2 linked regions of the Macaca fascicularis genome follow. The protein of the gene in region 2 purifies or fractionates together with the protein of the main gene of each other region. This does not show direct contact. Links are inferred from orthologs where the notes say so. Each region holds a gene or a part of one and is shown on either strand. Other genes may lie near its edges.

What was found. The genes of interacting proteins can lie anywhere in the genome.
Region 1: the proteins of POLR2E (region 2) and POLR3B purify together in Homo sapiens (affinity purification with mass spectrometry; 7 studies listed by BioGRID and IntAct, counting the BioPlex papers as one, with this or other methods). This does not show direct contact. The link is inferred for Macaca fascicularis from reciprocal best matches to the Homo sapiens genes POLR2E and POLR3B.

What each region holds. Positions count from the first base shown.
Region 1 is NC_088385.1:113,368,724-113,373,411, forward strand, and holds part of POLR3B (DNA-directed RNA polymerase III subunit RPC2), read left to right. Parts: intron 1-926; coding exon 927-1,085; intron 1,086-3,080; coding exon 3,081-3,198; intron 3,199-4,688. UniProt on the Homo sapiens protein: Catalytic core component of RNA polymerase III (Pol III), a DNA-dependent RNA polymerase which synthesizes small non-coding RNAs using the four ribonucleoside triphosphates as substrates.
Region 2 is NC_088393.1:1,660,253-1,666,568, forward strand, and holds the end of POLR2E (DNA-directed RNA polymerases I, II, and III subunit RPABC1), read right to left. Parts: intron 5,021-6,316; coding exon 4,905-5,020; intron 4,130-4,904; coding exon 4,049-4,129; intron 3,601-4,048; coding exon 3,542-3,600; intron 3,452-3,541; coding exon 3,373-3,451; intron 3,044-3,372; coding exon 2,978-3,043; 3' UTR 1,773-2,977; downstream 1-1,772. UniProt on the Homo sapiens protein: DNA-dependent RNA polymerase catalyzes the transcription of DNA into RNA using the four ribonucleoside triphosphates as substrates.

The DNA of each region.
Region 1 (4,688 bases), on a different chromosome or scaffold from region 2:
TGAAGGAATGACAGCTGTTTTGGGTAACTCTACAACTCATGGATTTTTTTCTTTTAGGGATTCAGTGGTTGAGTTTTTTTGCCCCACCCAAAGGTTTTTCTTCTGTCCTTTTTGCTTATTTTTCTTCCTTTTATTTTTCGGATCCATTGGTAGACAGCTTATTTTTCTTAATGTTCAGATTGTTAGTTGACTTCACAGCTTTTCCCTCATCCACTAGATAAATGCAATCTAAAAATGTCATTAAACTCCAATCTTTAGGGCAGAGAACTATTTTTCCCATTGAAATAATTTGATTGTTCTTTTTTCATTCTGTCTCTTCTCTGGAGGAAAATTAGTGTTTTTACGTGCTGGCTTAGAACTTGCTCCAAATGCCAAATTTTAAAAAGAAAAACTTTCCAGGGAAGGTTAGCAGAAGTTGTGCACCAAAAGGATGTGTGTCCTGGCTCGGGAGTCAGTGGCCTTGTGCTGTTTAACACAATCCTCAACTCTGCTGCCAGCTTGCTAGATGACCTTGGCCACTTAATTTCTCTGGACCTCACTCCTAGTGCCTGTGAAAGGGATAGGTTAAGCAGGTGATTTCTAAGGCCCTTTCCAATTCTAATATTCTATGGCTCTGTCCTCTGAAAGAATCACAGTGCCAGTCTTAGATTTCTCTCACCCTTCTCCAGTTGTATTCCGTGCAGAAAATGGTTGTAGAGATTCCAGTGTTTACACAGACAGTAGGTAGGGGACAAGTCCTGTGCCACTTCTTCAGATTATCAGATTTTTATTTGGTTTGTACTGGTCCCAGATTATGATCAAATACAGAGAAGCTTTGGGATTTGGGGGAGAGTGAGGTGGAGTGGATTGCTGAGTAGCACAAATCCATGTTTTCTTATAGCTTTGGATTACTGGTGGTTCTAATGCCCATTTTGGTTTCGTTTTAGGCTTTGGGCGTTGCCTTGTATATAAAAATGCTAAATGTACATTGAAACGATATACCAATCAGACTTTTGATAAAGTAATGGGGCCCATGTTGGATGCTGCTACAAGGAAACCTATCTGGCGACATGAAATCTTAGATGCAGATGGTATTTGTTCTCCAGGTAAAAGCCTTTTGAAAGAAATATTTTTAATATATACCTTTGAAATCATGTGTTATTCCATAATATTTCTGAATATTTGACAAAAAGGGCAGAAAAACGTAACAACCTATAAAACCACTATCCAGACTCAACCAATGAGGTCATTTTTGATGAATTTCCTTCCAGTTTGTTTTTCTATACACTATGTTTTTACCTATCAGTAATCTATGCTAACTGTAATTTTCTAGTTATGATTTTGAATAATAGAAAAGCCACTTTAAGGAAATATTTAGAGTAGTTCGTGTCCCTGCATCTGCACTGGTATTTCTTCATTTACGCATTTAGCTTACAGACTACTTTAGAATTTTATCCCCCTGCAAAGGTATGACTCCATTATAATTACAAACTTGTAATGCATTTTGTTGATGAAACAAATAGTCCTTGCCCTTATGGGTCTCACAGGCTGGTGCAGGAGACTGACATTGATCAGAGGATCATGCACAAACGCAGGTTAAGGAATCATATAGGTAGCTATGAGGCCATTTTATAGCAAGAGGATTTGACCTAGTTAGGAAGATCAGCATGGCCTTCCCCAAGGAAGTGAGCTGGAATCTGAAGGATAGGGAAGAGTTAACTAAAGAAGAAGGTCAGGGAGCGTGTTCTAAGTAGTAAGAAAAGCTTGTGCAAGGGTCCCGGAGCTTGGTAGTTGAAAGATCTGAAAGAAGACCAGTGCGGCTAACAAGAAGAGAGTGCAGGGAAGCATGGTGCACATGAGTTGGTGGGTGACGCGCGGGGTAGGTGCCAGAGTAAGCAAGTCCTTGCAACTGTGTTAGTATTGTCTTTATTTTATTTTATTAATTTTATTTTTGAGACAGGGTCTCAGTCTGTCACCGAGGCTGGAGTGCAGTGGCACAATCTCAGCTCACTGCAACCTCTGCCTCCTGGATTCAAGCGATTCTCCCACTTCAACCTCCTGGATAGCTGGGACCCATAGGCGCGTGCCACCATGCCTGGCTAGTTTTTTGTATTTTTTGTAGAGATGAGGTCTTACCATCTTGTCCAGGCTGGTCTCGAACTCCTGGGCTCAAGTTCTCCACCCACCTCGGCTTCCCAAAGTGCTGGGATTACAGGCATGAGCCACCATGCTGAGCCCGTGATACTATTTTCATTTTGATCCTAAAAGCAGTGATATATTCAGATATGTGTTTTGAAATGATCATTCTGACTACAGTGTAGAAAAAGGATTAGAAGGGCACTGAAATAGAAGGTAGACCTGGTACCAGGAGCTGTGGTGAAGGTGGAGAGAACCCAGTTGTTAGGAGGAAAATCCACATGACTTTGTCATGGTTGGCCTGTGGGTGGTGAATGCTTTATCAAGCTGTGATTCCAAAGAGACACAGAGTACGTGACTTCTCCTCCCTCTGTCTGCCTTTGTTTCTTGGAGGATTTTTCTCATCCTAACACTGGTCAGTATGGCTTGGAAAATATGCGCTATGACAGTACTACAGGTAGTTGGTCTTTGAGCTTACCAGGAAGAGATACAAAGCAAAAATGGGAATAACAGCAAAACCAAAGAAATATTTTGATTTTCTCATTGCCCAAGTTGAATTGGTGGTGGCTTATTACTGGTTGAAATAACTGTAAATAAAAATAAGTGATCAAAACTTAACATCCTAAGAGATATATAAAATTGCTATTTACTGAGATGATGTTTCTTATGTTAACATAGTCCTCTGAATTATTTTCTTAATTTTATATACACTGTGGGGTGTGTGTGTGTGTGTGTGTGTGTGTGTGTGTGTCTGTCTGTCTGTCTGTCTGTCTCATTCTGTTGTCCAGGCTGGAGTGCAGTGGCATGATCATAGCTCACTGCAGCCTCAACCTGGGCTCAAGCAGTCCTCCTACCTCAGCCTCCTAAGTAGTTGGGACTACAGGCATGTTCATCTGTGCCTAGTTCGTAATCTTTATTCCACACAGATGATAACAATATGCCTAACACTTTTCTTTTCTTCTCAGGTGAGAAAGTAGAAAACAAACAAGTGCTTGTAAATAAGTCCATGCCCACGGTGACTCAGATTCCTTTGGAAGGAAGTAATGTACCACAGCAACCACAGTACAAAGATGTACCCATAACGTATGTATTGGTTGTGCCTTGATAATATGTAGAAAGGTTAGAAAAAAGGGAAGGAATGGGAGAAATTAGAAGGTAGGTCTTGGTGTGTTGGAGAACTAGAAATAGCAATTTGGGGTAACATTACTTGTCATGAAAAAAGCATGGCATAGAATATAAAACTAGTCTATGGAATCATATAGACCCTAAACTGGGTTTGAGGTATGGACCACATAGGCAGGGGTTCCTGATGGAATTAACAACAGGATGAAGGGTACATGGCATAATAGTGCCTGGGTTTGAGGATCAGTGCAGCTTGCTGGGGCTAGGTTGTGAAATTGATACTGCAGAGAGGGACATGATAAGAGTCATATTTTTAAACAGTGAAACACACTGGCCACAGCATGGCATCACAGTATACTAGAACATAGCCCAGCTCTCGTACAGGTTGTCTTGTGTATCTTACATGAGTAAAGCATTTAAATTCTGTTAGCTTCAGTTTTTTCATTTGTATAATACAATGAAAGAGTTAGACTTGTTAATCTCTAAATTTCTTCTAAGCTCTAAAATTTAATAAAGTATGAACCTAGTGAGAAGGGCCAATGATAGTCACCACATTGTAATATAAAAACCAAACTAGAAGAGATATTTAACCTAGCCAAGGTGAACTAGGCCAACTGAGTTTAGGAGGTGGCAGTGAGGGTGACATAGGAGAACTGGATTCTTGAGCTGTGATGGCAGTTTTACAAATGTATTCAATACACAGTAGCTGAGGCCTGCTGTGTGCCAGCCACCCTGCCTCTTGTGCCAGTGATATAGAGCTGAAATAAGCCACAGGCGTTGCTTGCAAGGAGTCGTATTTAGTTGGCAAAGACCCCCACACAAAAAAAGTGCGGTAATGACCGTGATCATAATAGCTTATTGGGAATTTATACTGTACCAGTTACTGTTCTGGACATTTTACATGTGTTAGCTCAGTTAATCCTACCACCACCCTAGGAGCTGTGTTCTCTTAGTGGCTCATTAGAAAGATAAGATGGAAGCAAGGAGAAGTTAAGTAACTTACCAAGGTCACACAGCAGTAAGGGGCAGCACCAGGATTTGAAGTCATGCAATCTGGCTTCAGAGCGCTTCTCTTGACCATTGTGCTAAACACAGCAAGAGAGTTATCTCGGGTGCCATGGATTTGTCTCTGGAGGAGGAGCACCAAGGAGAAAATGGGCAGCTATGCTTAGGGGATGGTCCAGACTCTTACACTGACTTCTACAGGGTGAACAGCTATTTTACAGTTACAGAGGTGGCTCTGCTGGTTGGCTCTCTTCCTGTCTTGAAGGAGGATATCTCTTTTTCTGTGCAAAGTTCATCTCTCCTTTCGGTTTCTTAATTTTATTCACTCTTTTCAGAGACCTTTTTCTGTCATCTTCTCTTTTATCCTCCCATATTTTCAACCTGTTTCCTATTGATTCCTTCTTTACAGGTTAGAAAATGTGCTCAGATACTTTTTACCTGTAAAG
Region 2 (6,316 bases):
CGGTCATCACAGGGACGGCAGGCCCTGCCCCGCCTCTCAGGTCTGTTGCAGGGACTCCGGAAACCATTCTGGGAGCTGTGGATGGGGGCGGAGGCTGGGGTCTGGTGCGGTGTCCAGGGTGCAGTACGGCAGGGCCTCAATACTGGCCCTAGACTCCCTTTTCCAGAACACCAGGTGTGGCCACCTGGGGCTTAGGTACACAGTGGGGCCTCTCGGAAGCCACCGTGTAGCTTTTCACAGGCACGTGTATTTTGCTGAAATAAAGGTTTTAATCGGGTATTTTCTGTGGCAGCTGCCAGCCTGGATAGGGGCCAGGGAGGGGACGTAGCCCCGCAGCGTGGCCCTGGGCCTCCTCCCAGGGGAGATGTGAGGAAGGGAAACCCCCTGCCACGGGGCCCCGCGAGGTGGGAGCCCAGGTGGTCTTCACGACAGGCTGTGCCGACACTCAGGCATCGAATGACCATGTCGTGTCCACCTGCAGCCCAGGGCAGTCCAGGAGAACGTTCCAGATGACGGACGTGTTCTTGAGCTCTGAGGTTCCACACGCCAGCCCCACGTGGCCACCAAGCACTGGAAACGTGGCCCATACGCCCGTGGAACTGCGTTTTGTTTGAGACAGGGTGTAACCCCGCGGCCCAAGCTGGAGTATGGTAGCACAATCGTAGCTCACTGCAGCCTTGACTTCCTGGCCTCAAATGATCCTCCCGCCTCAGCCTCCCAAAGTGTTGGGATTACAGGTGTGAGCCACTGTGCCCAGGTAATCTTTTAAGTTTCTTGCAGAGGGGAGGGGTTTCTCTGTGTTGCCCAGGTTGGTCTTTTAACTCCCGAGCTCAAGCGATCCTCCTATTTGAGCCTCACTGCAACCTCCACCTCCTGGGTTCAAGAGATTCTCCTGCCTCAGCTCCCAAGTAGTTGGGATTACAGGCATGAGCCACCACGCCCAGGTAATTTTTGTATTTTCAGTAGAGACAGGGTTTTGCCATGTTGGCCAGGCTGGTCTCGAACACCTGACCTCCAGTGATCTGCCCACCTTGGCCTCCAAAGTGCTGGGATTACAGGCGTGAGCTACCGCACCCGGCCTCCAGAATGTTCTCATCTTCCCAAACTATGACTGTGCACATGACACACGCTGTCCCCATCCCCGTCCCCAGCCCCGGGCACCCCCATCCTGCTTCCGGGCTCTGACGACTCTAGCGACCTCCTAGGAGTGAAATCAGTGTTTGTCCTTTTGTGTCTGGCTTGCTTTGGCCGAAACGATTTTGAAAAAAGCACATTTGGAGAGAAGGGGAAGCACCGTCCCTGTCACTCACACACCATCAGACTTAACCTAAAGATCCCTGCGGGACTGCACTGCGCCATCCCCGGCCTGGGCGTCGGGAGCCCTGCAGACCACCGATCACAAGGGTGAATTACATCCTCATAAAGCTCTTGTGAAATAAACACAGGCGGCTGGGTTAAACTTGGGCAGGCGAGGCCTTCTGAAATCAGACAAAGGGGGAAGTAGAGCCAGATCCCAAATGTCTATACGAGGAACTGGCCGCAAACCACAGCTGCACACACCAGAGAACTCCACACCCTCACGGGAAGGGAGGGAGACACGCTCACGCCTGATCCAGGAGCACAAGTGGGAGGGCGGGGTGAGGGCCTGGGGAGGCGCTGACCTCCGAAGCCAGGGCCAGAGAATGCCAGCAGGAGGGACCGCCTGCCAAGCCGACCTCGTGTGCTTGGGGAGACGCAAGGCCACCTGCTAAATACCTTTTCAGTAGGCCTGGTTTTCATATCAAGTAAATTTATTTGCTCAAAACATCTTTAACGTTTGAAAACACCCAACCTCCTCCAACAACCAAAAACTCCAGAGCTGGAATCTCACACCCTGGTGGCTCGAGGGTGTGCACAGCCGTGAATGGAGTAAGGAGCCGAGGCTGGGCAGGGGCCACCACGCATCAGGGCCCCCGAGGAAAGGAAGACAAGGGGTAGAAGGCTGAGAGCCCAGGAGGAAGCAGTGGCTGGTGGGAGACCGGGACCCCAAACCCCCAACAGAGGGGGCCCAGCACCAACTGCCCCCAGGTGACCTCCCTCAGGGGCTTTGTCGCTTCTGAGGCTGCATCTTGCACAAATCCACAGGTGAATGGGGCCGGCTGGGCCTCACCCCAGGATGGGAGAACTTGGGTGAAGGCCACCTGCCTTGGGGAGTCCAGAGAAGCAACAGCCGTGAGAGCTGGGGGGCTGGACTCTGGCAGGGCAGGGGCGTCCGTCCTGCAGGGATGGGGGTCACTGTCTGTGTGTCTGCCTCTAGGGGCTGGGAAAGAAGTGGAGGGTGGTCACACGAGTGGGGCAGATCTAGTCGGCCCAGGACAGCCCAACGTCCACTACTGAGCGATAAGGAGGGGCAGGAGGCCCGGCGGGAGGAGGCCCAGGCCACAGTGCAGAGGCTGGGCGGCTCACTTGTGCCCAGCGGTCACACAGGTGTGGGCAGTTGCTCTGACCTCAAAGCAACTGCCAGCATCAGACCAGGCCGAGCCCCACCCCTGGGCTGAGTGTGAAGTGGGGCTGCCTGCCAGGACAGCACCTCGCCAGGACCAGAGTCCAGGGGAGCTGCGAGGTTCTCACATGAGCAAAGGCTGTCCCGCTCCTGACTCAGGCCAGTCCCTCCCCAGGTGCCCACGCCGGGAAGGGGTAGCCTGAAACTGCCCCCACTCTCCGAGCGCTGGGCTCTCCGGGCAGGTTTCTAAACCCTCTTCTGGAAAGGCCCGCCGCACACCCGCCCGTGTCTCGCTTCTAAGGTGGGTCAGTGGCGGGGGACATGCACGCCCCGCGTAGTCAGGTGGGGGCTGAAGATGTCCTGGGAGCGCCTGGTGGCCCAGCTGGGCTGGTGCTAGGACGGGTTTGCTGCTGGATGAAGCGAGAACAGCTTGGAGGGGACGACACCCCCGCCTCAGTGCCTGTCCCTCTGGCCGTCTCACCTGTCAGGCGGTGGCTACTGCACCAGCCGGTAGGTGATGTACCTGCCCGCCGTCTCGCTGGGCCGGATGATCTTCACCACCTGCAGAGACAGAGAGCAAGGGCTGGGAACGCCTGAGGGGCCTCACTGCAGTCACCAGACAGCAGGCGGGCAGCCCACGGGCTGGGGATGGCCGGCAGGGGCCCAAAATGCTGACCCTGGGCTGCAGGACCCGCTCCCCGGGAACCTGGGTCACGCTCTTCTCTGGGCCTAGTAACCCTGGCTTTAAGAGGGGGGGATTGGGGGTGTGGTCTCGAGGTCCCCTCTAGGCCCTGGGTTGAGGGGCGGGGCTGTCACGGAGGAAGAGAAGCCCCTTCTCTGAGTGGTCAGCTCAAAGCAGCCCCAGGGCCCCTTCTTCCTGCAAGGCTCACCTGCCCACGCTTTATCCCAAAGTAGCGCGCCACAGGGTCCCCCGCCTGGATCCTGGGCAGCTGGTTCTCTCGGAGCTTACTGGGAAGCAGGGTCAGGAAAATGCCAGACGGAGCCGTGGAGGGGGAGGGGGACGCGGAAGTCTCAAGGGACAGGGGCTGGAAAGGATACTATCGGGCCAGCAGCTCTGTCACCTCCTCCTTGGTCATGACGACGTGCTCAGGGACCAGCTGCCGAGAGAGGAAGCCACCAGGCATCACCGAGGGCTGGCCAGACCCCACGGCTCCCAGGCGCCACCACAGCCCCTGTGCCTCCAGATGGACAAGAGCCCCGAACCCCCCTCCCCCGACCCCCACACCCCGGCTGCACAGGCTTCTGAGGCAGACAGGCAGGGCACAGCCGCCTCCCGCTGGGACCCCTCCTGCCATGTCGGCAGCACTAGGCTCCCTCCACACCCCCAACAGTCCCGTTCTACAGGCTGGGGTGGGCCTGCGGATCTGCATTCCTAGGAAGCTCCCGGGTTTGGCTGCTGCAGGTCCCGGGCCACCCTTTGAGAACCCCTGTTCTCCACGCACTAACGGGAGCACCCACCCTGGGCCCCAGATCCCACATCTTCCTGGCCACCCGCAAACCCTGCATCTCTGCCGGCCCCACGCAGGCTCCACGGCGGGCGCCCACCTCGTGCTCCGTGATGTTGATGAGCAGCTCCTGCTGCAGAAACTGCTCCAGGATGTACTTGGGGGCCATGTCGACCAGGGACTGGAAGAGAGTGGCGCTCAGGCACGGCCCGGAGGGGCCCAGACAACCCCAACTCCCATTTCCTGCCTCAAGCTACATAGAGCTTACTCGTGTGCCCCAACACACCCCACGTCATAAATCAGAAAACCCCACTGCCAGCCCCACCAGCCTCTCCGCTCATCAAGGGCCTCTGTCATGAGCAGTGATGAGGCCGTGGAAACTCGGACGTGTTTCCATCCGTCACACGCCTCCAGGGGCGGCCCTCAGAGCTGCAGGGTGGCCTCTTCCCCATACGGGGTGCCGCTGTGTGTGACTGCGTGAACCCCGCAGCCGGTGGGCCAGGGACTAAACCGCTCTGCTGACTGCCCATCACAGCACGGCAGCCTGGCTCAGGAGTGTCCGATACACAGACGGGGAACACGCCCCGTGCCGGGCCTCCTCTGCATGTCCCCCTGGACATTGGCTCAGGACAAGGAACCTCCGGCTCCCGCAAGCTGCGCCAGGCCGAGGGCTGCGGCACACAGGCACTGGCGACAGAGGCACAGCGCCCTCCGCCCTTACGCCCCTCCCGAGCGCCAGGGGAGGACGGCAGCGCCTGGGGTGGGGCTGGGGTTCAGCAGTGGGGCCATGGACGGGGTGGGAGGGAGGCGGTCAGGGCTTGTCAGACATCCGGGCCACATCCTCCAGGGCACCCTGACGGGCCTGGCCCCAGGCACGTGAGCCGCCTGTGGGCGCTGCTCGGGGAAGGAGGCTGGGGAGGGCGAGAGGCTGGAAGGGCGGGGTGGGGGGTGCCCACCTGCTTGGCGGAGGGCGTCATGCCCTGCTGCACCACGATGAGGGCACGCGTGATGTTCTCTTCCTGCATGCGCTGGCAGTACACCTTGATGGTCTTGATGCCCACCTTGGGCTCCTCTGCAGACAGAAAATGTGCTGGCCTGCACCACCCTGGGCCCTCCCGGCCTTCGCCCACCCAGACCACAGAGCACCTGGGTTCCAGCCCCATTCCACACAGGCGCTTCTCCTGCTCAGACCTCAGCTTCCACGTTTGCAAAACGAGACCTGAGTTGCAGGATCCCAGGACAGGGGAAGAAAGGGCTGAAACCTCATTCACCTAGAGACAAGGACGGGGGCCTGACACCCCTCAGTCACCCAGAGACCAGTGAGAGGCAGAGACCTTCAACTCTGAGAGGCTCCCACCCCGGGCAGTCCTGGGGAGGGGGGGTGACTCAGCACCCACCTGTCCAACAAGCACATCTCACACCCCAGGATGCTCTCTTTAAGAAGCATCACCTGAGGCCGGGTGCAGTGGCTCACACCTGTAACCCTAGCACTTTGGGAGGCTGAGGCAGGTGGATTGCTTGAGGTCAGGAGTTCGAAACCAGCCTGGCCAACATCGTGAAATCCCATCTCTATTAACAGTACAAAAAATTGGCCAGGCACGGTGGCTCACACCTGCAATCCCAGCACTTTGGGAGGCTGAGGCAGGCGGATCACAATGTAAGGAGATCGAGACCATCCTGGCTAACACGGTGAAACCCCGTTTCTACTAAAAATACAAAAAATTAGCTGGGCGTGGTGGCGGGCACCTGTAGTCCCAGCTACTCTGGAGACTAAGGCAGGAGAATGGTGTGAACCCGGGAGAAGGAGCGTGCAGTGAGCCAAGATTGTGCCATTGCACTCTAACCTGGGCGACAGAGCGAGACTCCGTCTCAAAAAACCAAATAAACAAATAAATAAACACTACTAAAAAAAGTAAAAGTAGCCAGGTGAGATGGTGTATGCCTGTAAACCTAGCTTTTTGTGGGAGGCTGAGGTGGGAGGATTGCTTCAACCCAGGAGGTGGAGGTTGCAGTGAGCCGAGATTGCGCCACTGCACTCCAGCCTGGGCGACAGAGAGAGAGACTCAGCCTCAAAAAAAAAAGAACAAGAAGAAGACCGGGCGCGGTGGCTCACGCCTGTAATCCCAGCACTTTGGGAGGCCGAGGCAGGCAGATCACCTGAAGTCAGGAGTTTGAAAGCAGCCTGGCCAACATGGTGAAACCCCCTCTCTACCAAAAATACAAAAAAAAAAAAAAAAAAGCCAGGTATGGTGGTGGGTGCCTGCAGTCTCAGCTACTCAGGAAGCTGAGGCAGGAGAATTTTGAACTCAGGAGGTGGAGGCTGCAGCGAGCCGAAATGGCACCACTGCACTTCAGCCTGGGTGACAGA